Linked DNA regions of Drosophila melanogaster. The protein of the gene in region 1 purifies or fractionates together with the protein of each later gene. This does not show direct contact. Each region holds a gene or a part of one and is shown in the gene's direction. Other genes may lie near its edges. The genes, in order: udd, Polr1B, TAF1B and TAF1C-like.

Region 1 (6,182 bases):
CGATTCGCTTCTTTAGGTCAGCGGGCTGGAATACCAACGAACATATTAGCTTCTTTCTACTTAGAACAAATAGGATTAGTATACGGACCTTGACAGGGAAGGTAAGCTGGTTGAACAGCTCGGTGATGAGAAGATTATGGCTCAGCGTTTTTCGCATTTTCATAATGCGCACAATAGCCGCATCAATTTGATACTGACGATCCTGAAACACACGCTCCTCCGTCGCCTTTTGCTCCTCATTCTAATGGAAAAGGGGAAAGATTAAGTGTGTGCAAATTACATCAAAACTAAAGCCACTTACTGTCTCCTTCATCTGTATTTGGTTGATCTTGATTCTAAACAATTTGTTTGTGAACTCATTGTTAAAATCAAACTGATCGCCATCCAAGATTTCGCGGCCTTTCGGTGTTTTTGTTATGACGCGGGCGCGCCCACAAGCCAGGGACTGAAGTGTTCGACGCAACTCTCCATCCTCGATGAGGGTGGCGGCCAATATCTCCTCGTAGCTCAGAACTGGCTTATCGTTAAACAATAGAAGCACAAGCGCTTGAAACAGCGAGACCAACAATTCTTTCGGTCCCTGTGAAACATACGTAAACATTGCAATCGCATAGAACATAGTAGGAGCCATTAGTAGTTACCGCATCGAATTGAGCACGCAGCATACAATTTCCTAATGTAGGCTGCCACTGCAACTTCCGCCCACTATGCTTTTCCAGATAAAATTTGTTGAAAATCTGCTGAGGATTGATGAACTGTGGCGGCATTGTGACCTCTGTAGGTGCATATGTAGGCCAGTAGCCCATGGTAAGAATGCTGACGCACAAGTCCAAGTTGTGGACATCGCGGTTGTTGCTTAACGCGTGTCCGCGGAACGCAATGTTGATATCTCGGCTCAGTTCCATGTCCTTAAACATGCCCTCCAGCTTGGACGTAAACCCTCCACCGCACTCCTGCTTAAGCTTGGAGAGCATACTCTTTTCGGAATCCACTGATGCCGATTTGCCCACAAGTAATCGTTTGGCCAAGTCCTAAGATGGTATTCGTTATTAAATAATGCTCGACATACAATAGATGGACACAACCTTTTTGTAAAACGCTTCAAATACATCTTTGCCATGTATAAAACGAAACAGAACCATGATTTTATCTAGAGTCTTTTCCAACTCCTCATCTGTGGTTCCCTTGTTGCCAGATCGCAGTTTCATATCTACGTATTTAGCTAATGGAAGAATAAACTTTAGCAAACTCGTTTAAATATAGTGACAGTGGGCGCTTACCAATAAGCTCGGCCGGCTTGTTGGCACGTTGGTTGATAAAGAACTCAAAGGCCTCGCGCAACGAGTTTGTGAATTTCTCATTGTGCTCAAAGCAGGTGCGAACTATCACATCCATTTTGTCCTTGAAATCGAGCAAATCTTGGACCATGCTCTTATCCTTCTCGGGATCGATGACAATGGTGCGTCCCTTTTTCTGAAAGTAAGTATATTAGCGCGATCTATTAATATGTTTTACTGCAGTTAAAACAAAGGTATCTTTAAATAAATTTATACTACTTAACATATCCATACCTTAATGAAACCGTTGAAATTGCCGCACAGCTCGGATGTTCCATTTTTGACTCGACTAAGCAGCCCGTACAACAGTGTAAGGTCACTCAGTCTGTTGTCTTCCAACAATGAATCCAAGCCCTTCTGCAATATTGACGTTAGGTGTTCGGCAAGTAACTCTTTTTCCACATTGTAAATCAGTGGATGTCTGTAAAAAACGCATTAATAATTGTTTTTATTATTGACTTCGCCAGCATACTTGGTGCTCGAGTCCAGATAGTGACGCAAACGCTCGTTCTCCTCGGCCAAACGCTTGTTGACGTGTTGTAAGTACTCGGGAACTTCCAGTTCTTGCATCTTGCGTTGACTCTCAGCCTTATACAATTGATTGGTTGCGTCGAGGAACTTCTCCTCAAAGGAGCTGGTGTAGATCTGCAGGTCGCATAACATGCGAACCAAGCTCTTCAGCAAACCACGGTCCACGGTGGAGCCTTGTCGTTCTTTTTCAATAAGCGTTAGTAAACCGTCGACGGTTCGCTTTTGGACAACGCTGTTTTGAGCAAAATGGATGCGAAAAAGGTCCAGCCCCATGTCCCAAATCGAGTGAACGGTCGAATTTTGCAGCACATAAGTTCGATCCATATACAAGAATATGCTGCGAATCATGATCATTTGTTGGCAGAACGAGAGCCACCAGTGGTTGATCTTTTCCAGCAAAATCTAAAAGACAATAAAAGTTGACGAGTAAACCTTTAAATGTGCTCCTTAAACAGCAACTTACCAGTTTGTCCATGCTACCGCCGGTGAGCTCCTTGAGCTTAATATTGCGCTTTACGTGTTGCTCTGTTAGCTCCTTGAGTTTCGCGTATAATTGTGCATCCATCTTGTGGCTACACATGTTCACCACCGCCTGGTAGAGCTCCTCCAGCGAATATTTAATGGGCTTGGAGAGTTGGATGGCGATAACGGCTTCTTCAAGCTTCACGTACGTGTCCTTGGAATAGTTATCGGGCAGTGTAGGCTTATCTAAGGAAGGAAGGAAGGAAGTTGAATCATGCAGTATACAAACAGTTGAGATCTAGACGGGACCTACCCTTAAAGTTCTTAATCACTATCTTCTTGACATCGCCAGGCTTGCTGTTGTGAATAGCCCCCATGCGATTGAGGAGATTTGAGGTAGTTGAAGCCGTGCGGATCTCGCCATGGCTGCCGCCTAGCTTGGAGAAGTTTGGCAGGCGCTCGCCGTTGGTGGACGCAGAATTCATGTTTTGGGCAGCGAAGGCACTGCGGCCCACGCTCGAGGCGGCAGCAGCGGTGGGGGCGACGTTCTCGGCCTTCTTCAGGCAGGCGGCAATATTCTCTGTGTTCTCGTGCAGCTCAGTTGTGTCCATGGGCTTGTACTTCTTGGCCGCACTCATAGCTTAGGGCCCCTGCTGCCAGCAGGATCTCCACTCCGCTCCTGCTCTCCTGATCCTGCCCTGCTTTCGTCGCACCGGCTTTGCTTAGTCCTGGGCGTGGAGATCGGTTATTGATTGCTGGCTTTTCCTTTAAGGGAAGGGATTGCAGTTTGTATTTCGATACGTACCCTTGAAATGATTACCAGCAAATATTCGTAATATTTTTGCGACTTTTGCACTGGGGTCGTCAAGAAATTGGCAACTTGCGAACTCAAGGCAAATAGACTTCCTGTGAATTTTCCGGCTGCGAAGTAGATTTCTCCGACAAACGGCGTCCTTTTGGACAAATGGGGTTCCTTCGACGCCTGAGAGACTATTCAAATCGACAAAACTTCGGAAGTACAATTACACAGGCAACATTTTATTATTTCGCTTTTGGTTGCATGCGGAAAATATTGCTTTTTGGGATATCGGACGAATCAAAACATCGATTGGCTGCGGGTAATCGATAGCTCAGCGGGCAGCACTGCCTATCGATATTGGTGTGAAACAGGTTAACATTGCCTATCACTGTTAGCACGACGCATTGTGTTCGCGACGCATTTATGTTCGCTTTCGCCATATAAAATGAAAACAAAAGATGAGAAGCCATCGCCTTTGAAAACTGCACCGCGTAAAATAAAGGGTGAGAATTTTCCAGCCAGAAGGATACCCGCAAATGTTTTGAAACGCACGCTTGAGATCGCCACCAGTCCCGAAGATGGCTTTTGGGTGAACCAAAACCCATCCTGTGCTCCTCCGGCCAGTAACGAGTTTTACTTCAGCGTTCGACGATCCACTGCGTACGAGAAACTACGACTGGCCCGGGATTGCCTTATGCAGCGGGACTACAAGAACTTGGCAAAAATACTGGCCTCCAATCATATGGGAGAAACGCTGCTCCAAAGGGCGTCCTTTCAAATATTCACGGAATACTCCAAGGTTCTTCAAAAGTGCCCAAAGTTCTACACGAAAATGGAGCAGTTGCGAGTGGAGCCGACTCCTCCGACGAGACCCACAGATGAAGACATAGCATTAGACGATTCATTAAATGCTATTCTATCCTAGTTACCTTTTTTAATAACGACGAAGTTAGGCAAGAAATATAATATAACTACCTCATAAAAAAACGCATATTAAATTGCCTATTAAAACTGCGTCCATCCCACTAATATATAGTGACGTATTTGGGTGGTCCAAACCAGCCACTTCCATTATTTCAAAGAAATCAGTAATGCACTCTAGTAATTTTCCATAACGTATCCCAGCTGCGCAGCATTCGTTTATCTTTGGCAGCGCAGCCGTTCTTGTAAACATCCTAAAGCCTGACCTAAGCAGATTTGACTGCCCTCTTTCAACGCTACCTAATCTTAAGAACCCAAGAGCGAGGCTCTCCCGAAATACAAATATTGTTCAAATACTGAGGCTTCTCCTCAATCCAATTTGCATTTGATTTTTAGTCTTAAGCTGAGATCCAAAGAATAAAGTCGTGAAACTATTTCTCCTAAAAACTATTTTTTATTTCTTGGCGTTGTCCTTAGTCAACTGACGGGACATTAGTTCGACTCATAAATAAAACAACAATTTTACTGGCGCAGTCGGTAGGATACAAAAGTATCCGAAAAAAAAAGAACCTTCGAGTGGAAAATAAGTTAAATTTTATAGTCCAGTGCTCGAAACATCTCCCAAAATAAATTCGTGAAAACTCTTCAACTTGGATTATAATTCCAATTCGGTTATCCAATAATAAGTGGAAGTGAAATACGAAACAAAAATATTAAGTCCAAAGGCAACTAAGTTTTAAAACCAACATATAAAAATAAAAAATTAAAACAATATAGAATTTTAATAATACAACACAAAAATTTACAAAACAAAAAAAAACAAACAAGTGAAACTAGAAAGCTTAAAAATAATAATAACATTGAATCCGAAACAAAACAAAAAAATAAAACACAAAAGTTAAAAATTTTACAATAAAAATGTCACAACCAATTATTGCGCTGAGCGACATAAACCTTGCCGAAGCCCGTCGGCAGCTTAAAGACATTATGCCATTCAAGGGTGATCCAGAAACCCTTCACACCTTTATCAGCAGAGTGGATTACGTAATTTCGCTCTACCAAACAAATGATGTCCGACAACAGAGGATTCTACTGGGAGCCATCGAAAGGAACTTGGACGGACAAATTACACGATCTTTGGGACTTCCGAACATCGAAGATTGGCCTACCCTTAAAGCAAGACTCATCGCGGAATTTAAAATTCAAACACCAAACTACAAACTTCTGGAGAACTTCAGGGAGACACCATACAGAGGAAGCCTAAGAGCATTCTGCGAAGAAGCGGAGAGACGACGTCAATTACTAATTTCGAAACTACACCTGGAAGGTAACCAATCGGATTTTCTTATTTATATTCAGGGTATTAAAGAATCTATTAAGATACTGATAAGGAAACTACCAATACAATTATTCACTATTTTAGCCCATCACGATATTACAGACTTAAGATCCTTAATTACCATTGCACAAAATGAGGGAATTTATGAAGAACACATTAATTTTGAATTTTATGAAAAACCAGAATATCGTAATAAAAATTCAAATTCTAACCAGAATTCGAAAACACAAAAATTCAATACAAATGTTCAAACTCAAAATCGACCAAGTTACTCACAATATTCCCAACCCTTCCAACCTAATTTTAATCAATACATTCAACCATTTAGACCTAGCTATACACAGCAGATAACTAACAACCCACCCATGTGGCACGCACCTAATTATTTCAGACCCAACCAATACATAAACCCACAACCCATTATTCAAAAAAATCATTTCCAACAATATCCCAACAAAGCCCAATTTCCCCAAACAACGCATTTTAGAGGAAATACATACCCTCGACTACAACAACCCTCTACATATAAAAATACTAACTTCCCGATTACTAAACGACTAAGACCATCGGACAGTGAACAAACTAAAATGTCTATTGACGAAATTAGATTCCAAGACGCGCATGAATTCGAACAAGTCCAACCTAATTATTACGAGCAACAGTATTTTAACCAAAATCAATACAATCCGTATCAAAATCATAGCTTCATTAATGAAGGGCAACAACAAGTCCAATCTGTACAAATTAATAACAAACAAAACCAAAATAATTCTGAACTAAACGAAAATTTTCG
Region 2 (8,676 bases), on another chromosome or scaffold:
CACACTGTTCCTCCTTCACGCTCAGCATCTGCTTGCAGCAGGAGATGACCTCCTTCAGGGTTCCTACCTGGCGTTGAACCACTTCCACTTCTCCACGCAATGACAAATTCTCGGCCTGTGCCTGCTGCAAAGCCAACTGAGCATTGGCCAGTTCGATATTGGCATGGCGGCTCCTGGAACTGGGATTCTCATCATCTGGATCTGCATCAGGCTTACTGGGACTATTCGAATGGTCGTGCTGATTATCGGCTTGACCGTCTGTAGCCGTAACTTTTCTAAGACGTTGATTCTCAGATTTTTCTATGGCCAATTGTTCTTTAAGACTAGCAATTTCATCCCTCAGGCCCTGCACAGCATTTTGGCGAACCTCTTTTTTCTGACGAAGCTCTTCTCTGAACTCTTCGAGGGTCTGTTCTCGTTGATGGGTCTCATTTCCTTTGTCCTCCATTTCAATTGCAACTTTATTCTCACGATATTTCACTCTATTTTCGGGAAGTACCTCCTCAGCTTCTTTTTGGGTTGTGGCTCGGGGGGCCTGTTCCAGAATGAGATCCTCGTGCTCGATGTTGTTCCACCAGGGCTCGTCATCAGTGGACTGCTGCATCTGCATTTGCGTATCATCCGCAGACTGTGTGGACTCGGCATTTCCCATCTTTACCAACAGAACAAAGACGAACGAGCTGTGGTATGCGGTTGTGATGATCTGTTTACCAATGCAGATTCGCCTGGCGAGCGTTAAATTTACGATTCGCTTTAATGCGACTTTTCTTCTAGAGAAGAACTCTTTGTCGGCACAAAGAAAGCCCAAGATCCACCGATCTACAGATCGCCACCAATTGATATGGCACCAATACCAGCAGGGGAAAATACCAACAAAAATCGGTGTCTATATTTGTGTGCGACGATCACACACGAGTTTGCAGATTTCGCAATTATCTATTGACTTTCACTTTTCAACCAAGGATGTTCGAGAAAAAATAATGTCCCGATTTCCATTAAATATTCTTCACTTGCACATTGAACTTCGAAAGATACGGAAAAGGAGAAACGTAACTAAACTAAATATCTAGTATACATATGATAAACTTCTATATGTATACGTGACGTTGGAAAATTTTCGGGTTCTAATTTCTATCCGTTCGACGGTCGAACGCAACTTTTCGGTTAGCCAGCTCGGGAAAAACTGAGAAAACATTGAATAGATTCTGCTATTTTTAACCCACTACGATCTCTCCTGCTTTCAAACGAATTTGGCTTCTCTCGGCGGCACTCCCAACATAAAATGCTTTGTTTTCGAGCATTAGAGATTCTTGTTATGTTGAGGGTTTGGCAAGATGTCTGAGAGTCTTCTTAGGACTCTTCCCTTCACATTCTTAATTGTTCTTTTTAGTTTTATGCACATTTTAATTAGAAGAACGTGTCAGATGAATCCGTCTAAAATTATACACAAGCGTCATTTTAATTATGAGTAAGGGGTAAAACAAAACAAAACTCTTGCCACATCGCCTGTCAAGAAATGAAGATCAAGACCAGTTGTCAAGAGCTGAAAGAGAAAGATCCGCAACACTTACTAGGTGAATGATCTGCACTGTTTTGAAGACGATGTTTCCTAACATCAGGAACTTTAATTACATATAAAAAGCATACAAAAGAATTAGCATTACTCTCAGTTTTGGTATTAGGTAAAAACTCTGGGTGAGTATGAACACATGTTCAAGGTTAAATACAGCACAATCCTATTCATTTTTCAATTCATACACGATCACAAACTTTTCTTAGCGCACCCCTGTCTGACCCACATTCGTTGACCATTATCACTTCGTTAAAGAGAATAAATCTCTGGACCTTTATTAACCAATTTGTGATAGTGGCATAGGGTATCCCGCGCACCCCCGAACTCAATGAAAATCTTTCGCGCGAAAGTTTCAAATGAAAATCCATTTGCTAGCTGATTTTTGCACTGGCCACGCCAACTTCCTGTTTTTTTCCCCCAGTGCGCGCATTTGAAAAGTGGGAAACACGCAGCAACGATTCCAAACCAAGGACGGTGAAGGGTTTTCCGGGGTAGGAAGGAAGGATGGCGCACACATTTGGCAAAGTGTCGCCAGGCTTGAAAATGAAAATCAACAATGCAATTTGCCATGGCGCCTCGCTCTGCCCCTTAGTTCTAGGTTTCTCTGTTGTTTGTAGCGACTCAAAAGGGAAAAAATTCTGCTAAAAACTTGAAGCGCCAGGCAAAAGTTGGGCCCCAGGAACGCCCTCAGCTTTTGCAGAGATTGCACACAGGCAAATGTGCAGCGAAAGTTGAAAGTAGCAAGGATACAAGAACCAGGCATCAAGGACGCTCTGCCCAAAATAAGTTGCAAGAAATCCATTGTGTTCATTATAATGGAATAATAAACCGGAGTGACTGCGTTCAGATTGGGGTTCTTTCCTTTTCCATTAGCCCCTGAACCATCTCAAATTGATGATATTTTCTTGATGTTCCCACAACCACTTCATGTTTTCACGTTAAAACCCAACAAAGTAATTTGGCAATTCCAATACAAGAAAAATTAAGAAATCTGGCATCAGCCTTGATTAACACCTATCTTAAGACGAAATATAATGTTAGTAAAATTTTCATATTCTCGCAGTCATTAGACATTAATGTGCCAGTCAGTGGGGTTTAAGCCCAAGTATTCGACAAAACTGCTTCTTAGAAGCTTTAGATGGCGTATTTTGGGGAGGGTGCTTCAGATTAATATGCACATACATACATATGTGCATACATACGCCACCTATGTGGCTCACAACAATGCAACAACTTCATTGCCAGAGCAACACGTTGGCACATCCTGTTGCAAAGTCTCATTTCCGCAGGAGTTGTGTTCTACATACCGGATGCCTTTGCAAATGCTAAATGGTTATTGCCGTATGTGCACAATATGTCAGACGTTGCAAATAAATTATATTTGCTTTTATACAACTTGGATACAATTCAAAATTGGGTTATCAGGCTTATCAAGCGCGCACATATCAGCTGTTCCTTGCATTCGGTTGGCAGCCCAGTTATTTAAAGATGAGCTGAACACGAATCGGAACCATACGACAATTCACCGAACTTTAAGGTTATTTTAGTGTGTTCTATTAATCTGAATACAAATTTTTAGTGATGGTTCTTTATTTACCGAAAATTTTTATCCCAATCATCTATATTCTTATTTCATTCAGTTATATGAACAATATAATATATGAACTAGTTCTTTGCGACTGCCTCACCACTGACTGGTTCGCATTCAAAACGGTTCGATTCCAAACAACACGTGCGAAGGAAGGCAATAGGTTTCTTAATATTTTTGGTCGGCATTCTGAAAGAATAATACTTACAACATGCTGGAGGAGATGCAACAAATGAAGACCATTCCAGTGCTGACCAATTCCCGCCCGGAGTTTAAGCAGATACCTAAAAAACTCAGCAGGGTAAATATCAATCTTGTACCTATAGCAAGGTTTCGTGCTAATAGATTTACTTCTATGGCTAGCATTTGGCCAATTTGGGAGGTCCACATGTGGATTCCTTCGACGAGATGCTGACCGTGGGACTGGATAACTCGGCCAAACACATGATCCCGAACCACTGGCTGAGTCCTGCCGGCGAAAAGATTTCAATGAAAGTAGAATCAATATGGATAGCGAAGCCAAAGGTGCCGCAAGATGTGATTGATGTGCGCACCCGAGAGATTTACCCCACGGACTCCAGGCAGCTCCATGTCTCCTACTCGGGAATGTGCTCGGTCCGATTGGGGTGGAGTGTCAATGGAGTGCAAAAGACTCCCATAAACATGGACCTAGGAGAAGTGCCCATCATGTTGCGCTCCAAAGCCTGCAATCTGGGACAGGCTACTCCGGAAGAAATGGTAAAACATGGAGAGCACGACAGCGAGTGGGGGGGCATTTTTGTGATCCGAGGAAATGAGAAGATTGTACGTATGTTGATCATGACCCGGAGGAACCATCCCATATGTGTAAAACGTTCATCCTGGAAGGATCGTGGACAGAATTTTAGCGATTTGGGTATGTTAGTGCAAACGGTCCGTGAGGACGAATCATCCCTGAGCAATGTAGTACATTATTTAAACAATGGAACTGCAAAGTTTATGTTTTCTCACGTCAAGAGACTATCATACGTACCAGTTTGCCTGATCCTCAAGTGCCTAATGGATTATACAGATGAGGAAATATACAACAGATTGGTGCAAGGCTACGAGTCCGACCAGTACTATGTGTCCTGCGTGCAAGCCATGTTGAGGGAAGTTCAAAATGAAAACGTCTATACGCACGCCCAGTGCAAGAGCTTCATTGGCAATCTGTTCCGTGCCCGCTTCCCAGAAGTTCCGGAATGGCAACCGGATGATGATGTCACAGACTTTATTCTTAGGGAGCGAGTAATGATTCACCTGGATACCTATGAGGATAAGTTCCAGTTGATTGTGTTTATGATTCAGAAGCTTTTCCAATGCGCACAGGGCAAGTACAAAGTGGAGAACGTCGACTCAGCTATGATGCAGGAAGTGCTTCTGCCAGGCCATCTCTATCAGAAATACCTAAGTGAGCGAGTCGAATCCTGGGTCTCGCAAGTCCGACGTTGCCTTCAAAAAAAACTGACTTCACCTGATGCCCTAGTTACCAGTGCTGTGATGACGCAGTGCATGCGACAAGCAGGAGGAGTTGGCCGGGCCATAGAGTCGTTTTTAGCAACTGGAAATATTGCGAGTCGCACTGGCCTGGGATTAATGCAAAATAGCGGATTAGTCATTATGGCGGAGAACATTAACAGGATGCGTTACATGTCCCACTTTCGCGCCATCCACCGTGGTTCCTATTTTACAACGATGAGAACCACTGAGGCGCGGCAGCTGCTCCCGGATGCCTGGGGTTTTATTTGTCCAGTGCACACTCCTGATGGCACACCGTGCGGACTGTTAAATCATTTGACTCTAACTTGCGAGATTTCGATGCGTCCCGATCCCAAGTTGGTGAAGGTGGGTACAGCTAATGGTAGACTTTATTAGAAATTTTAACCGATTACTTTTTTTTTCAGGCCATTCCCAAGCATCTTATAGATATGGGCATGATGCCCTTGTCAAACCGAAGATATTTGGGCGAAAAACTTTACGTCGTCTTCCTAGATGGCAAACACTTGGGTCACATTCATCAATCAGAAGCCGAAAAAATAGTTGACGAATTGCGCTACGGGAAGATATTCGGCACCCTTCCCCAGATGATGGAAATCGGCTTTATACCCTTCAAGAAGAACGGTCAGTTTCCAGGGCTTTACATTGCAACGGGTCCTGCCAGGATGATGAGGCCCGTTTGGAACCTAAAGTGGAAAAGGGTGGAGTACATCGGAACACTGGAACAGCTTTATATGGAGATCGCCATCGATGCAAAGGAAATGTATCCTGACTTCACCACTCATTTGGAGTTGGCTAAGACCCACTTCATGAGCAACTTGGCCAACTTGATACCCATGCCGGACTACAATCAATCGCCACGTAACATGTACCAGTGTCAGATGGGAAAACAGACGATGGGAACGCCATGCTTGAATTGGCCTAAGCAAGCGGCCAACAAGTTATACCGCCTTCAGACGCCAGGGACTCCTCTCTTCCGACCAGTACACTACGACAACATCCAGCTGGATGACTTTGCAATGGGCACAAATGCTATTGTAGCTGTCATTTCCTACACGGGCTACGACATGGAAGATGCTATGATCATCAACAAGGCTGCTTATGAACGAGGATTCGCCTATGGAAGTATCTACAAAACAAAGTTTTTGACGTTGGACAAGAAGAGCAGTTACTTCGCAAGGCATCCACACATGCCGGAGTTAATAAAGCATCTTGACACGGATGGTCTTCCACATCCGGGCTCCAAATTGAGCTATGGTTCGCCCCTGTACTGTTACTTTGACGGAGAGGTCGCCACTTATAAAGTTGTGAAAATGGATGAAAAGGAGGATTGCATAGTAGAGAGCATCCGACAGTTGGGAAGCTTCGATTTGTCGCCAAAAAAAATGGTGGCCATCACACTGAGGGTTCCACGACCTGCCACTATTGGAGACAAGTTTGCATCAAGAGCTGGTCAGAAAGGAATTTGCTCACAAAAATATCCTGCAGAGGACTTGCCATTTACGGAATCTGGTTTGATTCCAGACATTGTGTTCAATCCCCACGGCTTCCCCTCCCGAATGACAATCGCCATGATGATAGAAACGATGGCGGGAAAGGGGGCTGCAATCCACGGAAATGTTTACGATGCCACGCCTTTTCGCTTCTCCGAAGAGAATACTGCTATTGACTATTTTGGCAAAATGTTAGAGGCTGGGGGTTACAATTACTACGGAACGGAGAGGCTGTATTCCGGCGTAGATGGCCGCGAGATGACTGCTGACATATTTTTTGGAGTGGTGCATTACCAGCGTCTTCGGCACATGGTGTTTGACAAGTGGCAAGTAAGATCTACGGGAGCGGTGGAAGCTCGGACCCATCAGCCAATTAAGGGCAGAAAACGCGGTGGAGGCGTCAGATTCGGTGAGATGGAACGGGATGCTTTGATCTCTCACGGTGCTGCTTTCCTGCTGCAGGATCGCTTGTTCCACAACTCCGATAAGACGCACACCCTGGTGTGCCACAAGTGCGGCTCCATTCTGGCGCCTCTGCAACGCATTGTTAAGCGAAATGAGACGGGAGGACTCTCTTCTCAGCCAGATACGTGTCGCTTGTGCGGGGATAACAGTTCTGTATCGATGATCGAGATACCATTCTCTTTTAAGTATCTGGTTACCGAATTGAGTTCGGTCAACATTAATGCGAGATTTAAGTTAAATGAAATTTGATTTAAATCTAAAATTATTGTTAGGTCCTATGTTAACCCGTGCGCTAATCGTAATAAAGATAAATACGTAAAATACAACTGTGCTTGCCAAGTGTTTATATCCAGATCGTGGAAACGTTTTAAACACCTTTCAAATGGTTTCAATTTATATTTATTTAAATACATATTGGTTTACGTTTACAGTTAAATTCCTGCACTTGCTATATGTAGTTGTGGCTTGGTTTTCTTGCTCTTGCAGTTGCTTTTGTTTTGTCTGTGAGTGTTAAATGGAATTTGTGTGGAATTTTGTAACATTTAACTATTGCACTTTGGAAATGCCTAAATTTCCAGCTGTCATGCACATTGGTTTTTACGAAAGGATCGAGAGTTTAATGGTAATAAGTATTTGATGTCAGTTTCCATTATCGGTTTTCAGTATCAGTATCTATATAGTGTATATTTTAGTTTACAATTCTTTGTTCTTTATCGGCAGCCGTCTCGCATTTGAAGAGAGTCATTAGCAGATTTATGGCTGGCGGCTACTGCTGCTGCTGCTTCAGATTAGTTAATACTTGGTGCTACAAAGATCGCTTTCTCTTCAGGAAGCGGCACAACATGAAGTAGCCCCTCTCAGTTTATCTATGGTACACAAACGAAACGTAATATTACCCAGAATCATTCAAAAAATTCTGCTATAAGTATAATAATATTCTGAAATTTTTGCTTCGTTTTCTTCAATAGGGAAATTTTTCCTATCGTTAATAAATTTTAAGTTGCTCAACAGTGATTAATCAAGGAGATTTTGTGGATCTGTCTAATTATTTGTCTATTATTTAATGAGATTTCTGCTCTTGCGGTCCTCCATTGGATTTTACAATCAAAAACATTAAACATGAATTTCGTTTAGATGCAATTGCAATAATCAATATATGTATAAATATTTAGATAACGATTTGCATACTTGTCATTTGCAGGCATCTTAATAATTCCCTTGCAAGCTTTTCTCTTTTGTTTTATATTGATTTCTGTTTTTATTACAACGACGTATATACTAGGTATATGTATGTGGTTTGTATGAATGTATGTAGATCTGTATATAGGTATATAATATCCAATTGCTACTGCCTCGAAATGATGCAACAATATATAATTTGTCATACATATAAACATAATCTAATTATGTTCTCTCGTTTCTCTACTATGAACTTTTTGAGCTTAACATTTACAAAAAAGTTTGGGAACATGAAATTGAAAATGGTTAAAGTAAGAGTAGGTTTACAAACATAATATTCAAATAAACAGGACAGTGGGTAAATCAACTCGCTGTTGGAGAAGATGAAAGGTACTTAAGAAGAGTGTAGGAGTGTGCCTGGCATAACTAAACGCGTACAGTTCTAGGGCCTTGTATGCTTTGATATTTCTCTAGGTAATTGGGATTGTGCATTGTAAAGTGGTTGCCGTTGCTCCATGGCTTCGCAGCTCCGTCTCCATCACCCCGTCCATGATTGTTGTGGCTTAGAATTGATCCGTCAACAGATCGCAGATTTCCCGAGTTACGGTCTCCTTGCTTGCCCGAACTGTCAGTCGGAACATCTATTGATAATTTGAGAAATAGGCAATAGGCATTATGTTCCAAGTATCTAACAATAAATTACTCACCTGAGCCTGCTTGTTCGGCTCCAATCGCATAAGGCAGCCCACCTGTTGCGATTGCGTATGAATGATGCCCGCGCAGACCATGTTGTCTGGATTGGGATCCACTTGGTCCAGCAGTTGCATTCCAAAGCCCATAAGCTTGTTGCGGGCTCCGGGCAA
Region 3 (9,087 bases), on another chromosome or scaffold:
GCAACACACATTGTCGATATGAATGCATTTGCATTCGTGTTTATAGTTACCTAGGGAGTTTCATTAATATAGAAACATGTGTAACTTCGTCATATCAAATCAGCACCTGTTTTGATTGTACTGGAAAATGTTAGCATCACGCTTTGATTAAGTTCTTTTCAGTTTAGCTCGTGAATCAAAAAGCTTTTCATCCTGAATGGAGATTCCCTGCAGCTCAGTTTGCTAAGCCAAAAGATAATTTAATTTAATGGCAGTTTTTCTGAAGTTAAGTGTGCGTTTATCGTATTAGAAGGTCAATACAGTCCGCGACATCGCTGACAGGCGCGCACGCACGCTGGCAACGTGACAAATGGTTTAATTTGGCGAATTTTACACATTGCTGCAGTTGTTCTCGCAATTGCTGACAGCCGCGTTCTTCAATTTATATAACACTAATTAGAATCGAGTACTTCGGTTTCAGCTGGACCGCTATTTAATTGAATGGATGTTCCATACGGATGTGAACATATATGTATGTACCATTGGTTCGTTCGCCATACATATATTTATGTCTTTATCCTCCTCTACAAACACTGCTCCTGTCAGGATGATTTTCAGTGGCCAGACAGCAGGACATTCCGTGCGCAGAGAGACACATAATCTGGACGACGGTTTTTTGCATTTACAACAGTTTAAGTTACAGATAATTCAATTAATTACACGCTGGGCGACCTCGACAGCATCGTTAGCCATCAACAGACAGTCGCTGAATTAATTCATTTCCCTGCCATTCCAATTCACTTTTACTGGCTTGAAAACAAAGTAGTTACTCGCTAATTAAAACTTTAGCGTTTGCACAGATTTTTCATACATATATTGTGTTTTATATTGTTAACGAATGAAAAAGTTCTGTGTCCCCTGGTGAGTTTGAAAATAGGATGCATCCTGCCAATGTTTGCAAAAAGCTTATGTATCTTTTGTGCAAACTACACTATAGTTGCTTTTAGCTGCCACACCATATACAGCTGTGTATTAATTTCGTTCTCCACAAGTGCATATATTTGAAAAGTTATAAAACACCTGGGAAATGCATATTTCCGAGAACATTTTATGTTCGATTATACTGCAGTTGCAACCACGGAGGACAGACTGTACCCGCCTCGATACAGTAATCATGTAAATTTCCCCTTTTTGCGCAATTGAAGGCGACCTTTATTTATGGCGACGCGCCAATTAAATCGCCGTTGATTGGAAAGCAGTAAAGTGCAGGCGAAAAACTTCCAAAGACACAAAAACAAAAGCCCGACGGAATGCAGATCCCGAGCAACAAGTTGGCGGGCAGCGTCTGACATTAAACCCTAACTAGATCACTGGATGTGGATGTCGATGTGGTGCAGATGGAGGCGGTTTGGTAACCACGATGGTGGGTTACACGTTATGAGCTACCTGTTAATATGCAGCCCCACCACCTGACTGACAAACTAAACCACATTGCATTGACTGACTGACTGAATCTCGAATGCGCATATTATTAGCCAGCGGAATTAGTCAATAAGCTGTGGTTGCCACCAACCATCGCTAGATGTTTATTGTTTCAGTTTTTTGCCGCTGTTTCTATGGCAGAATTATGAGAATGGCAATTTCAGGGCTCCTCTTAAATCGGCACTAATTAGGCCTGCCTTTTTCATGCCAAAGCCCAATCAATTATAAATTTTCGACGAGCACAGTTTGCACCAATTATGAAATTTCTCTAATGAGCACGAAGGACAATCTGCCCAAATGGCCGAAGCAGAAACAAACAAGAAACTCGAGCATTGAAATTTCCGAAGTTGCGATTTTCCAGCTGATTTAAACTTTAAGGACTCTTTCTTTTGAAATTACCAAACCATCTTCATACCTTATACTATCTTGTAATCTAGCTATCTAGCATGAAAAATCTTAGCTAGTTGCAAGACTAAAAAAAAAAAGACTAATATTAATGTAGTTGGGATTGTAAATATTTGGCACACGTGTGCGGGTGAGCACTTAAAGATTCCGTGTTCCCAAAATAGCCCTTTCCCGGATATTATTTGTTTTATTTGCAAGAAAGGGCGGAGTAAGAGAAGAAGGCCAATTCAACCCAATACCATAGAGTCCAATCCAATTCAATCCAATCCCTTCATTTTTGGAGCCAAACGAACGCAACTCACCTCGTGGGCCTTTGGATGCTGGTGTTGGCAGTTGTGAGCGGTGGCCGAAACGAGGAGCCAAGAGCAGATGCCGAGGGCTGCCAGGAATTTGGCCATGTTACCGTGGGGGCGGAGCGGGGGCGTTTTGGCCATGGTGTTTTACTTCGGGGTGGAATATCGCCGTGGATATTATAGAGTACTCAGCATTGTAGCGGTGATCCTTTTCATTGTCAGGATTAGTGTGATTTTTGTTTAATTATCACTTGACTTCGAACACCCATATCTGCACTTAAAATTCTTTGTTTATTTTCCTCTTTGGTTTGCTTATGTTTGCTGCTTTTCCGCCGTTTGCTTTGTCAATTAACTCGCGAAAACCGGCTCGATTCGAATCCCTTTCCTCTCACTCGCACACATAAACAACTCGCACACACACGTACATACGCACACACAGAGACACTCAATTATTGGGGCCTTTGGACTACTTTTTGTTTTTGTTTTCGGGTGGGTGTGTCCCAATCTCAGCCCACGCCAAAAAAATGTGCATAAAACTACAGCAAACTACAAACTGCAGTTAGCCGCAAAAGGAGGAACAAACTCGCACTTAAATGTCAAATTCTCATGAACTGTCCGTGCAGCGAGAGCATTCTGTAGGACTCACTGCCATACCCGACACAGTGGGCACTCAATAAGCGCATTCGTCGAGCCTTTTCATTCAGCAAAACCATAAAAACACTCGCGCGAAAAGGGGGCGTTTGGGTACCGGCGGGGGTGGTTGGCACGAACAACAAACTTAGAGAGACGCGAGTCGAATCGTCCGACAACGACGTTAACGTTCGCCAGCCGATTTTGTTTTGAATCGAGTCTCTATACATATGCATAAGTACATGGACACAAGGACAGAGTGGCCATTCAACGAAAACGAAAAACGCGTTCTTATGCTTTTCCGAATCTGGTAACACCTCTTATTAGCGCTAAAAAATTACGTTGCCTATCGATATTTCGAATCGACTTTTTTAAAAATCAAGCGTCAAGACATGGATAATTCAATTCTTACTGCTTATGGTCACACCAAAAAGATAACAGAAATGTTACGAGAGATTAGAGTTCAGTGATGGCTAACGTACAAGTGCATCTAACAGGTTGGCATAAAAAACAATAAAAAATACCCTTTACGCTTATTAGATTTTAATATATACTTTCAAAAAAAAACCGCTCTCTAAATTTTATATAAAAATAAAATTTTATTAAAATACCATGACTAAAAATATGTTACTTTGAACCAACTTTTATTTGCCGCCTTAATCTAGTGATGTACGTTTTCATAGAAGAAACGGACGATATATCGAATCAATCGAAGAACGGATGATATCGTTGTAAACATAGATCATTCCCCACCACTATCACATGCACGATTTGTGTACAACCGCGAGTTTGATTAATAATATAATTTAAATCTGATACCGTCAAGAGAAAGTCCCAAAAATGGAGGAAGTTCTCGAGACGATGCAGCTGGAGAACATGCACTGCGATGTGTGCGAGGGTACCACCTTCCAGGAGCGCGAGGGATTCTACTACTGCGTAGAGTGTGGCACACAGAAGGATCAGATTCGTGCAGTGGACATTACCGCCGAGGATAACTTTGATGACACGGCAGCAGGCCGATATACAGCCAGGACGATCCGACAGAAGAAGGATACGGAGAAGGAGGATGAGGACGATATCACCTCGTGGGAATTCTACAACTACGTGCTGCGCGGCTTCCTCCAGGAGCTGCTCAACATGGGCGCCAAGCCGGAGCTCAAACTGATGACCCTGCAAGTGTGGGCGGCTTACTTGGACAGCATGGAGGTGGCCTTCAGCAAGAGCAACAAGACGGGACTGCCTAAACTGAATGTGCGGGCGCTGCCCATGTGGGTTCTTGCATTCTCCTAAAATTTCTTATTTTTAAATTCCGAATTCTTTCAGAGATGCCCGCATCATCTACAACCATAAGACATTCAAGAAAGGCAAAAAGGGCAAGAAGAGCACTCTAACGGGTGACCCAAATGACGAGCGCGCCAAGTTCAGATTGTGGAACAGAACTAAGGTAGTTTATTAGCCGCTGGTAGTCGGTATAAAGGGCAAGAAGAGCACTCTAACGGGTGACCCAAATGACGAGCGCGCCAAGTTCAGATTGTGGAACAGAACTAAGGTAGTTTATTAGCCGCTGGTAGTCGGTATATAGAATTGGTTAGGAAACAGCAGGGGCAGCAGCAGGAAAAGGGTCCGTTGGTAGTCATTATACATGGGTTTTGCTGTATTTATCTCCTGTACTGGATTAGAATCTGTGGCGAATATGTTGGATGAACAATAAGCGTTAGGATTAGTTTATCTAATTACTTTCAGTGACTTCTGGAGCTCCGGGAACAGGTTGTCCGTAGGCCAATGCCAGGATGGCCACGCCAATTAGAACCAGACGCATGGACATATTTGCAACGACACACTTTACCAAATTGCTGCTGACTTGAACACGTTCGTCTTTTATAGCTCCACAAGCTATATAAATGACATAGTTAGCCTATTCATTAGTGATGTTTACTCAGATGCGACTGTAACACCTTGATCCCATTCCTTTTGCAGCGCAATCTAGACGCCTCCGGCTACCGCTCGCACGGAGGAGCTTCAGAGTCCGAAGGGGAGCAGAGTCTCCACCTGCAATGGTCAATGCGTGCACGCAAGTCCTTGAAGCGCCATATGCCGCTGAAGCACCTGGACAAGCATAGCCGCGACAGCAAGGGTAGTATGTCGTGCCACAGCTTGAGACCGAGGGTCAAGCAGCTCCACAATTTTGATCGTAACATCTACTGCCTGAATATTATCAAGTTGTATGTGGTGCTGGGCATAGCCCTTAATATGGTGGAGGATGATATACAGCTATCGGACTTGCTGCGCTTCATTGATGAGGAGCACTTGACCAAGCGGTGCATGCTTAACTATCTGCCCGGAAATGTGGCGGCCAAGGGCAAGGCACTGCTCAAAGATATGGAGCTCAGCAAAATGAAAGACAAGGTTACCAACAAGGTGACTATAATCCATCATTTTCTAACGATAGAAAAATAGAAATATCTATTAATAAAAAGGAACACAACTAATAATTATCTTTATATTCTCCACAGCTTCTGCGTGTAAACATCGCGTGTATGTCACGATTCATAAACTTGTCTGAATATCAAAAACCGAACCTGCACTCCCTAGCGGAGCGATATATTCTGGAGTTGGCACTGCCACCTCGGCTACTGAAGTACGTGAATAGCCTGCTTGACCTGCATCCGCCCACTTTTTTTAACGCCATGACCGTACATCCGTATCCGCGCTATGAGGCCAGGACTATGGCCTACATCCTCTACGCCATGAAGTTGCTCTTCGGCTTGGACGATCTCAAGGAGCGGAATATATCTGAATCGGCCGCTAAAATCAATGAAAAACTGCTGGAAGTCGGCGGAGATGAGGCTCCCTTGCTTTTTGTTTTTACCGAGTGGATGGAGTTTGTGGAGATGAGGAAAGTGATTGTCTCACATTACAACCAAAGTTTTGCCCGTCGCTTCGGGGTATCCACCCGGACTGGTTGTCAGGTGGACGACATACTGGCAAAGGAGTGGAAAGAGAAGGAGCAAGGCGAAACCTTTGGCTGGATGCAGGGATCTGCGGCAATGAAGCGTCAGCATGAAAACCTGACACACATTATTGAAACCATGCTGAAGGACCATTTTGGCGAGTCCAGCAAAGAAAGTATGGAGAAGGAACACATTGAATTCCAGCCCAGCTTGACTCCGGCTCACTCCTACTTCAACAGAATCCTACTCCAAGTATCGCGGTCTGATGGTGCAAAAATGAAAATCACAATTCCTGACCACATGAAAGTGGATCACTCGGCCCGCAACCTGGATCCCTTTGTGCTGGAAACGACCGAGCTGTCGCAGTATTTGTCCCAACATGGCCTTAAACTACGAGTAGAGGAGCTTGCCTGCCAGGAGGACATCCAAAACGTGGGCATATTCCGCCCACTAACAATAATCCGAGGTGACGGTCGAGAATACCGCGCCAACACTGAAATTAAAACCGAGACGTGGATAAGCGAGCTAAAGCGTAAGGAGAAACGGCCGGACTTTCGGTTCACACAGCCCACTGGAACCTATGGAGCCCGATATTTGAAACGTATAACAATGCGCGACGCAAGGCGTGTGCAACTTGAGATAAATAATCCGTTTTGGGATGTTACCGAAACGCCCAGCTTTCTTCTCAAACTCAACGATAACGAGATACCACTTGACAGCCTTAGCTCACTGCAAACCTTCGAGGAAGGGACCATGGATCCATTAAACATCCCTCTAGATCTGCCCCGTCGCAATCTGGAAAAAATTTTGAATCCGGAAGGTTCTGATAGAGCATCAGACCAAGTAGCGAGCGATATCAATGATGAGCCGCCAAGCCCTGAGACGCTGTTATTGCAAGTGTCAAATTTTGATTGCTGGCTTCTACACGGCTATATGAAAAGAATTCGGAGGCATGACAAGCATGAACTGCGTCAGTTGTTCCCCTGTTCCTTCCGTTGGCTCTTGGAGACGTGTGCCAGCACAATAGGCATAGTCTGGGAGGAGCTCTACGAGGAACTGCTCATTGTGGAAGTGATGTACCATCACAGCATCAGGGACTGGAGCAATCATAGGAACTATCTGTGTATTCAACACAATACTCAAGAGAAGGACATCCGAACCCTCGCCAGGACGTACAAGGAGTTATGGTAGTATATTAGAAGTATTAAAAGTTTTGAATTAACAAACAACGATGCCATCTGTATAAAATATAATATTCTTCTACGTAGTGCTCTACCTCAAATGATAGATTTTCTTTTTGTGTATATAACCTGTAGAAATCTTTCAACAGTGATTATGATGCAAATAAATCTGTGTGTTAAGCAGTTACCAAAGTACAAACATGACACACCCACTACGTCAATAGCTTAAGTTCAGGAATTTATGATTTACACACTTATCGAAAGTGATCAATTCATTTAACAAAAATATTCGTTGTCTACCCATACGTTTTCCTATGCCCAAATGTTAAATTTGCATCCATTTTAGATTGAAACGATCTATGTATTAAGGGGCAGTGTTATCTCCTTGGCCGCGACTGTGTGAGCAAAGGCACATTAACATCAATATCAATAGGCAAATTAGCGTTTATCAGAACAACAACAATCACATTAGCAGCAACAATGCGTGTCGCGGTTTTGTTTACAAAAATCTTCTTCAAAAGAGAGCGCCAGGCCCCACGGTCATCACCAACTGGAGAGAGCAAAAAAAGAGCGTGAGAGTACTTGGGGAAACAGAGGAGCTCACTTGGCTTGTTTTTGAACAGTTCTACTTATAAAGTAATTATACCAAATAAACAACAAAATAAAATAAATAAACCAAAAAAAATCACTTACATATATAACAATTTAAAGGGTGTTCAATTGTGATAGTTTATATTTGCTTTAAGTTTAACGTTGTCAACGCTCTCATAGGAGCGATTTCCTTTTAATGTCTTACTAGCTTTGTTTCATATAAAGCAGTTATCTCTGATGATCCTACTTCAAAAATCCGGCGAAAGAGGTGATAAGAATTATCTTATGCTTTTTTTCGATATTCTTGTGATCTTACCTATATTTATAGCTATATCTAGCTAGAAAAGAGGCCACCTCCGCTTGGGAGCAGTGAGAGTGGGTAAAGAAATCATAGGCGCGCATTCGCACGGCGCGTTTCAGTGCTAATTTTAACGTCGTCGCTGACTGTTTCGCCTTATTGCCCTGCTGCGGTTTGAGTTTCCCTATTTTCCACTTTTCCACTGGCCGCGAGCACTGAGTTCGAATTCAATTTAAATTAGTTCCCATTGTGCCTTTGTACGCCTCTTTGCCCGTCCAGCGCAGTGTGATAACCAGAAACCAAAGTGCCTGTGCCCAAGAAGTGCAGTGGAATCGGATGTGTGGACAGGAATTTTAACCGTTGCAGCGCGCGACTTGAAGAGAACCGATCTGAAAGTGATGAAAGTGTGGAGGCCACAGAAATAGGAACCAAAAATAAATTCAAAATCAGAGTTTAAAAATAGCCGAGTGCATGGCAAATTATGAGATATCTAAAGACTGTCAATTAAAATAGCACTGTTGTGTCTGTGATTTGTTGGATATCTGTTGTTTTAGAAGTCTGCTGGTGAGTTGGTTTTTCGGTTTTTGAAAATGTTTTCATATTAATATGCGCGCGTGTGGTTACCATTCAAATGCTACGATTATGGAAAGACAGCTGTTTCAATACCGCCGAAAGTATAGTGGTGCTTCCATTTCTCAAGAGTTTAGCTGCCTAGCTGTTACGTCAACCTTTTGCGGGGGGTCGGGGGCTTATGCTTTACCATAGCATTTGATTCTCTAGTTTCTGTAGGCTGAGCCACCCCCCCCCCCTCATCCTCCTCTTCCTCCTCCCACCGCTATAATACCGACCGATCTGGCTGACGTTCTTGGCGGTTTTTGAGGTTAACAACATTTTCAGGCCGCTTTGTTTCGCTGTGAGCCAAACAATAAACAACTATTGACTCGCACTGGCCATGTTTAGCGAGCCGACTTACAAACAATTAATAGCTACTATTTTGTCACTTGCTGACTTTTATGCCAAAATATTTGCCTAAGCTGTTCGCATTAGCAAATCGAACAAATTGCTCAAAGCGAAAAAAAAATAAGAAAACAACCATATAGCACGCGCATTTATCTTGATTTCGATTCCATGTGACTAAATCATTATTTGTGGGCTTACAATTTGTTTTCCCAACTGAAGTTTGCCTTAGCCAATTGGGTCCTGTTTTTGCGGATTCTTTGTTGGTACAGTGGTCTACCCCAGTAGTGGACTAAAGATCAAAAATGTAGTTATTTTTA
Region 4 (7,936 bases), about 13 Mb from region 1:
CCGACTCAGAAGACTAAATAATTACGATTTTTTTTCTTCTGAGAACAAAAGTGATTTACATAATCCTTGAGCTTTTGATTTGCTTTAAATGTATCTTTTTCTACTTAGACGTGAAAAGAGATAATTTTAAAGGAAGTCTGCTGTAGTTACATACATAATTCATTGTTAAATTATCATTTAATACGTTTAATGGCTCTTGTTTTTTGTAAGATCTTTCAGTGTTCGATTTCCTTGGAAGGTGGCTAACAACAAGTTCTCTGCTGCCCCTAAAAATACTTGCTCAACTATTGTATTGACTGCAATTTGTCCGAGTCCTTCAAGGATATCGCCTCCGATGTGGGAGGGGGTACAAATTTGCAAAACAGAAATTATTCAAATGTTCTTTGGGGGGCGGAGAGACAAGATACCCCATCGGTAGGGGGCGTGGCAGGGGTTCTGGGGCACCGACAACGGCAGCAAATCACATACAGGAAATGTCACGCTATGTCAAGCCGCAGGCCAGCAGGAAAAAAAATCGTACAGCCGAAACGAACCAAATCACACGCTCAACGTCAGAGCGTGTTGTTGCAGGATATGGGAGAATATCAGTTGGGTAGGTGGGAGGCTAGGGGCGTGGCACGGTGGGGCAATGAGGGGCGGCGCAGGTTGCCCTACTGTTACGTGTTTGCAATCGATTTGAAAGTTACATAAAAACAGAGCCGCAGCAGACCAAGGGCAGAAAAGGGAGAAGGTGCCAGGGAAGTTGGTAAACACCTGAGTGGCCAACAAGAGCGTCAACAACAACAACAACAAGAACAACAACAGGAGCAGCAACAAGGCGCCAAAAGCAATTTGTGCGGCGAACTTTTTATTGTGTTTGCCTTCTGAGTAAACTGACCTACGCATTAAACATGCAGGAAAGTTAAACATCAGATATAGATACGTATACATACATGTATGTACTGGACTCAGATACTCAGGAGGACGAGACGAAATCCTGTCCATGGCGATGGCGCCGACAGGTTACAGTAGAGCCGTTAAAGTGGAGTCCTCACCCATTCATTTCCACACCCAAAAACCGCTAGAAGCAATAAAATTTCACAAAACAGCGAATAACAAATGTCTGCAGGAACAGTAAACACTGCCAATAGGTAAACCAATTAGGGCAACTATTAGAGATAACAGTCAAGTCGCTTTTAATGAACAACCCCATTATTCCATTTCGCTTTTCCTTTGTTTAGTTAGGAAAATTGGTCGACTATTGTCTAGAAAATCAACTCGAAGTTGATTTGAGGTTTTTTTGCGAATTGCCTAGATCGTCAAATTTCTTATTTAACTTAATTGCAATTCAGAATATGGAAAAAAGGTGTAGGAATCAAGGAAACCTACTAATTTAGAATCCCAGGACAACATGCAACCGCACTTTTTTTTACTGGCATAACTTGGTTTTCAGCACACAGGCTTCACTGTGGCAGCTGCTGAAATGATTGCGGCGAAGTTTTCTGGAGGTCGTTTAGAGTGGAAAAGCGCCAGCTCCGAGAGAGGGAGAGCGATAAAGAGGAAGAGAGACGGAATGGAGCGAAGGGGAGGGCAGCAGGGGTCCATTACGTCAGAGCCAGAAGCCATTTGGGTTTTGTCAAAAATTAGCAGTTAGGAAAAGCGAGGAAAACCCAAACGAAACCAAAGCCAAACATACACAAAAAAAAAACGAATAACGAATAAAAACGAACATCATAAATGGATGAATTAGTACAGATATGGCGAGCAACAAGAACAACAACGACAAAAACGTGCATACAACAACTAACTGTTAACTAAGTAAAAAGAAGAGTGCGCAAAATATACAATAGTGCTAATTGAAAAACAGATACTGGGATGCAAATGAAAAGTTTTAGATGAGGCAGTGTGTTTTCTTTTCTTTTTAATGGGGGCGAGCGCAGAGAGAGAGAGACAGGATAAGACAGAGAGAGAGAGAGAGAGAGAGAGAGGGAAGAGTAATAGATAACTGCAACAAAACAAATGCAAGCGGAGCGAGAGGGAGGGGAGTAGGATTAGAACTGGTTAATGTTATCTTCCAGACCCGCCCCTCTCTTTCACACCTTTCCAATTGGCATTTGTTTTGTTGTCTGTTTGGCACTTGTATGTATGTTAATTGTGCCCGTTGTGTGCGGTAGTGTAGGTGTGAGTGCAGGTGTGTGCGTGGTTGGATTTAAAAAACTCACCTGACGCTTTCCGTTGCTTTTTCTTCTATTCTTTTGTAGGCCTCAAAATTGAGATAAAAACTACTACCGCTTTTTACCAACGCCTTCTTTTTGGCTAACAAAAAGAGACCGTTGTTTTAACTGCACTGTCTATGAAAAAATCAATATTCGGTCTCGACCAACTTTTTTCTTCACCTTTTCTTTTACAACTTGTGTAATTTCTGTGCTCGTTCTGTTTCATTCACTTATTCTCTCGCTCTCGCGCGCACGCACACACACACACACGCCCGCTGTTCGCGATTGCCAGTAATTTTCGGGGATCAATTTCTTGTAATTTCTCCAGCTGCTTTCAAGTCTTTAATTCTCGGTCTCGATGCAGCGCAAAGCAAATTTGATAGTGATGGGGAGAAACATCGATGCATCGGGAATCGATGTTTTCATATAGGTGCTATCGAGCTAGCCGATATTTTAGAAATAGTATCGCCGACCAGCGATACATCGTCGCTTATCAAAACATCGGATTCTTAAATATTTTTGACTTAAAAATGTAAATGTTACTTATTATTGGTGTCTAAAACCTTTACATTTCTTTAAAAAGGTATTTTACGATGCTTTTTTTTTCAATGTTACATTTTTGCACTTCCAATGTAATGTAATAGATAATCCAAAACCTATATTATTTTAATATATTGTGAATATTTTGCTTGTAATGCTCATAACAGCAAGCATGCGGTTGGGTAGACATAAATACCCATCACTAATCAGCTGTTTCTTGCGTCCAGAGGAAACGTCGTGCGTTTGGCGTTTGATTGAGTCAAATTCAATTTGTTAACTAAATTCTTTCGTGCAGAACTGGATAGCTGATCGAAGAAATCCGTAAGCCAGGCTCACATGCATCAAAACACATCGGCCAGCTAGCAAAATCCGATTTCTTATTTATACTCCAATTACAGACATGCCGCGACGCTATCAAACAGCTCTCAATTCGGCCAAATACAGTGCCCAGGTCAAGACCAAAACTAGTGACAACGAATCCGATTCCGAAGATGATCTTCCGCCGGATCAAGATGCTGAGGATAACAATGAGCCAGATAATCTGCGCAGCATTTTGGAAAATGCGCCGCACTTCTCTTATCCCGGCTTGAACACTGGAATGTTGGGCCAACTCTTGTACGATCATCAGGATAATCCGAAGCAGGACTTGCCAAATTGCTCGGTTACGGTGCCGCTACCCCTCTTCCTGGCAAAGGATGGACAAACTCCCCGAGTGGAGGCATGCGTCCAAAGGCCATTCCGCTACGACGATTGGACACGGCAATTGCAATTAGGCAAGGCTATATTTGATAGGCGACTTAAAAATATGAGACAGCGTGTACAGAAGCAGGAGCAAGGTGTACACGATGCCAGTCTGTTTGAGATGGCTGAGCACATAGCCCAACAGGAGAATTCCTTCTTCAGGGACAGCTACGATTACTACTACACAGGCGGAAACCTAAACACGATTCCGTTTGATGGAAACGATCAGCTGGCCATGCATGTCAGCGGTAATAAGCTCAGAGATTTGCACTTTTCCCGAGATTATGGTGAGGCGGAGTTTTGGCAACCATTGCATTCGGCTACGATAGAGGAATCCTCCAGCGAAGTCTTTGAACTTCTTCCGCTCCACAATTTAAATCGCAGTCAAATGTTCCTGGCACGGTTGCTGAAGGAGGTTTCCCTATACGAACTTAAATGCAAAGACGAACAGGATTCGGATTCAGATTACGAACTCATTCGCCATTGCATGTTTAGCAGTCAAGTAGCTCCTTTTACAAGCGCTGCACAATCATTGGCCAATGCCAATACATTGGCCTTAGCTAGCCAGGATAGGTCTTTGCGCTTCGTGGATATTTCGACACAACAGGATATAGCCAAGCTTGATGTTTGCTTGCTAAAAGGACTGAAGAAAACCTCGAGTACCTGGGCACAGTTAAAGCAAGCAGAGGAAAGCACCTTTCACTGCCTAACACAGCCAGTTTTGTTTACCGTAGATGTGCGATGCAATCTGCCTCTGAATCCCTGCTTTGCCAGCGGCGTTCACTCAAAAGCTTGCGAGAGGTTCTCTTGTTTGGCCAAGGGTGTGAATCCTAATCTCTTGTATGTGGCTAGTAATCACAACTTCCACTGTTTGGATATCAGATGCTTGGGTAAAAAGCTGACCGATCGAGCTGTCGTCACCTGGACGCATCAGATGACCTATCCACCCTGTTTTATTGACACAAGCGTTCACCAGGACAGTGAATATATTGCGTTAGGTGGACTCTTACCCAAAGATTTGCGAATTTGTGAACTGCAAGGAGCTCAGGCAAAAAGTGTCGATGAAATGTTCTCGCCGGCAATACCATTTGCGCCGGTAACCCTGGAAGAAGCTTTAATAGATGCTCGCTTGGGAGGATTTGTGGATGTCTATGCTGATATAGCAGAGCGGGTAACGACCTGCATTACAGGAATGCGCTTTATTGGCTTAGAGGGGGCCAGTGATCAAGCTTTTACCCAGTTGCTAACCTCCAACAGCTTGGGAGATGTTTACTGCCAAAGACTAACGCTTAGGGATGAAGAGGAGCATGTCCAGCAGATCAGAACCGGAACTCATACAACGGAAGCCATTCGCTACCTTGCCAATGCCGTTAATGAGCGCGTCCAACGCGAGAACATCCGCTGCACACAAGTCCAGTCGATACCAGAGATAAGAGACATCTTTCGAGATGGTGCCAAAAGATCAAAACCTGAAGAAAAACCTTTAATCGTAGAGGAAATCGAAATTGACTATGGCATAGAAGATACTGATGTTTCAGAAGATGAAAGCCCAGCCTCTGAAAAGGTAAAGGAAGAACCTTCGGAATCCAAGAAAGGTGGTAAGAAAACGCCTAAGAAAAAAACCAAGGTGAAACCAAAACGGCAACCCAAAAGGAAAGCTGCCAGTAAGAGAAATGTTAAAAAGCAGAAGAGCATCAGTCGCGGTCCCTGGCAGAAATCCGCTTACAAGCTGTCCCACTACACGGACATGATGTCGACCCGTTTGCTGGACGTGTGGGATATGGAGGAGTACGACACCACACGAGACGTAACAAGAGAAATGTTCGATGAGCGTATAAAGGGGAAGGAGCTGGAACCTGAACAACGCATGGCCAATTGGTTGGAACAATTGCCCAGTCAGACAGTGGTACCCACTGAGGACGAGGTGACCGAGGGAAATCCCGACATGGTTCCCGGTACAAGTCTACCAAAGCTATATGGCGCCACTACAGCGAACTATTCAGTCATTCCAGCCCTTAATTCCGATCAGGACATCGGAGAGCGCCTTTTGAGTCCCAAAAAGGAATCGCCTGTTGAATTTGGCCGCGAGTATTCTATCTTGCTGCCCGGCCAGAATACTATCATCGAGGACTATCCCTGTGCCCCGCCAGCTAAGAGGCCCAAGGTTAAACACGTAAAGGGTTTCTAGCTTAAGTTAGAGTTGTTAACCTTAATTTAAATTTAACAAAAATAAATAGCAGATTATAAAGTATATTAAATAGAAGTAAGTAGATTTAGAATTTAGATTTCTGCCAACAATATTAAATGTTTTTTATTTTTTATTCGATTGCAATAATTTGAATAACACAACACACACTTCACATTAGCCCATCCCGAAAACTTTATTGCTTGTTATACTTGCCATTTTCGATTGATGTCACTGGTTGAGGATGTATCTCCACCAAGATCGGGTTCGTAGGCTGGATTCACGATTCCCTCGATGGGCTCGACCACAAAACGATCATTCCTGCGTTTGAGGGCGTATCCCACAGATCGTTTTGCCATTTTGGGCTTATCTTGATCGCCGTGCAGCATTATATTTCGCCCTTTTTTTTCCAACACGCCACACGACCGTTTAGAGAGTGCCTCAGATTTCGACTGATTTTCAATTAATTTGGGCAGTTTGCATTTAATTGATTGATTCGATCTATCTATCGCTCGTCGGCGCTCAGTGGGGCGTAAACGAGCCAAGGGTGACAATTCCATAGGAGTGGCCATAGATAGAATATATGCTTAGTTTAGTTTAAGCTAAGCTCGGTTGAGCTGAGCATCCAAAGCTTTTAGTTGGAAAAGATTATCTTGAACTAAATGCAGCGAACTATTGAATGCTATTGACGGGAACATTGGCATATTCACAGATACAATGCTGAAGCTCAGCTCCAAAAATTTATTGGGAATTAAAAAATTTTTAAATTGATTTTGACAACATATGTGCACACTTAATATTAATCGTTTTCATTATATCGTATCGTATTAATCTACCAGTGTACAAAATTATCAAGCACGGTTTAAAAATAAACTGTAATAAATTAAATTAGAGTATGAAAACAAAAGAAAATGTCACATAATTTTGCCGAATTTAATTCGCCAATCATTAAATTAACTCTTTATCAGGCTCCACCCACAAATAAAATAAAAGAGGCGCCTGCGCACTAGAAAAAGTAGGCGAGGCATAATGTTGCTTAAACTTTGATGCCAGCAACATGTAGACTACGGCATATTCTTTGGAAACTCCTTTTAGTTAAACTTGAGCAATTGCTTGAATAGGTTGTGTGTCCTTCGTGTTCCATATATTTTTCGTTTTTGTTACATTTTTCAAAACGATTATTAGCTTAATAAAAAATGAATAACTTTTTGGAATACATTTCGGTATTACATTGTTCCTGTAAGTTCTGATTAATCATAAATTTAAAGTTAAATTTTAAAAAATTAATCTTACATATTAACTAATTTATTTGGGATAAGGAACACCTTTGATTGTGTCTTAACCTAAGTCCGCCTGATCCGCTCCTGAACAAGTTTCTGCTTGATTACGTGGACAAGTGCTCTCTCTTATTCTGCCCCCCGTATTGTGGATCGCGTTCCCACAGTATGTGAATCTCTTTTGGCTCTACAAAAACACGATCTTTCACTCTCTCTCGTACTCTTACACGTGTGGATGGTGGTGGATCACGATCCCCCGCCTCCTCCCGCTCACACTTTCCGGGTCTCTCTGAAGATTTCCACTCTTTTTATATAGGGGTGCACCCAAAAAAAAGATAGGGAATATAATGAAAAAAACATTGAAATACAAAAAAAACTATAATCTTATGAAAAACTTGGAGGAATGCAATATATATAAATAAGATTTTAAACTAAACTACAAAATAATCTGGTCTAACTTGCAAAGTGCCACAAAAATGTTTCTGAGTGTAGAAGTAGCGGTTAGTAAAACAACGTCGGCGGCTTCGGTTCCAGCATTTCTCGCCCGCACTTCGATCGAATCGGACGTGTTTGCACTTCACATCCGCCGTTTGCTCGCGTGTTTTCTGTTGTTCGCCCGCCGCATCCGCCCCCGCCCCTTCGCCGGAATCGAGTGATATCCGTCTGTGGAAGACCAAAGGTATATTACAGATATCAGATCGTAAATCGTGTGCTTGGCTTAGCGTAAACATCTTGGAAATGTGCTCATTAAGAAATGAAAATCGAGAAATCGAAAGAAAGCGTGTACTTTGCCATTGCTGTCGTGTCTCTTCCATTCATATTCAGTCCACGCCATCACACATGCATACACAAATAAATATATATACACACACATACGCCCCAAGAAAACCGAATGATGGAGGAGGAGAAAGAGAGCTTATCGCTACAAGTCCATGAAAATAAAAATAAAAAAATATCGCCGGTCATTTGCTCTTGCTTTTGTTGCTAAAGATCGGCTC

The links.
Region 2: the proteins of udd (region 1) and Polr1B purify together in Drosophila melanogaster (affinity purification with western blotting; one study listed by BioGRID). This does not show direct contact.
Region 3: the proteins of udd (region 1) and TAF1B purify together in Drosophila melanogaster (affinity purification with western blotting; one study listed by BioGRID). This does not show direct contact.
Region 4: the proteins of udd (region 1) and TAF1C-like purify together in Drosophila melanogaster (affinity purification with western blotting; one study listed by BioGRID). This does not show direct contact.

Annotation. Positions count from the first base shown.
Region 1 is NT_033778.4:8,102,882-8,109,063, forward strand, and holds udd (under-developed), read left to right. Parts: upstream 1-3,503; 5' UTR 3,504-3,574; coding exon 3,575-4,054; 3' UTR 4,055-4,492; downstream 4,493-6,182. Other genes in the region: Cul4 (cullin 4), read right to left, coding at 1-25, 89-241, 302-580, 642-1,031, 1,086-1,222, 1,281-1,473, 1,572-1,758, 1,810-2,270 and 2 more.
Region 2 is NT_033779.5:401,012-409,687, forward strand, and holds Polr1B (RNA polymerase I subunit B), read left to right. Parts: upstream 1-3,273; 5' UTR 3,274-3,372; coding exon 3,373-3,462; intron 3,463-3,524; coding exon 3,525-5,024; intron 5,025-5,083; coding exon 5,084-6,883; 3' UTR 6,884-6,958; downstream 6,959-8,676. Other genes in the region: CG4213 (uncharacterized protein), read right to left, coding at 1-652; AP-2alpha (adaptor protein complex 2, alpha subunit), read right to left, coding at 8,377-8,454, 8,521-8,676. UniProt on the Drosophila melanogaster protein: DNA-dependent RNA polymerase catalyzes the transcription of DNA into RNA using the four ribonucleoside triphosphates as substrates. Second largest core component of RNA polymerase I which synthesizes ribosomal RNA precursors.
Region 3 is NT_033777.3:10,138,614-10,147,700, reverse strand, and holds TAF1B (TATA box-binding protein-associated factor RNA polymerase I subunit B), read left to right. Parts: upstream 1-3,516; 5' UTR 3,517-3,629; coding exon 3,630-4,057; intron 4,058-4,112; coding exon 4,113-4,233; exon of another isoform or gene 4,234-4,346; coding exon of another isoform or gene 4,347-4,471; intron 4,472-4,526; coding exon of another isoform or gene 4,527-4,614; exon of another isoform or gene 4,615-4,631; intron 4,632-4,766; coding exon 4,767-5,207; intron 5,208-5,302; coding exon 5,303-6,931; 3' UTR 6,932-7,598; downstream 7,599-9,087. Other genes in the region: invadolysin, read right to left, coding at 2,169-2,300; CG42759 (uncharacterized protein), read right to left, coding at 4,347-4,471, 4,527-4,614. UniProt on the Drosophila melanogaster protein: Component of RNA polymerase I core factor complex that acts as a GTF2B/TFIIB-like factor and plays a key role in multiple steps during transcription initiation such as pre-initiation complex (PIC) assembly and postpolymerase recruitment events in polymerase I (Pol I) transcription.
Region 4 is NT_033778.4:21,496,745-21,504,680, reverse strand, and holds TAF1C-like (TATA box-binding protein-associated factor RNA polymerase I subunit C-like), read left to right. Parts: upstream 1-2,948; 5' UTR 2,949-3,056; intron 3,057-3,133; 5' UTR 3,134-3,135; coding exon 3,136-5,664; 3' UTR 5,665-5,778; downstream 5,779-7,936. Other genes in the region: CG46395 (uncharacterized protein), read right to left, coding at 5,868-6,050.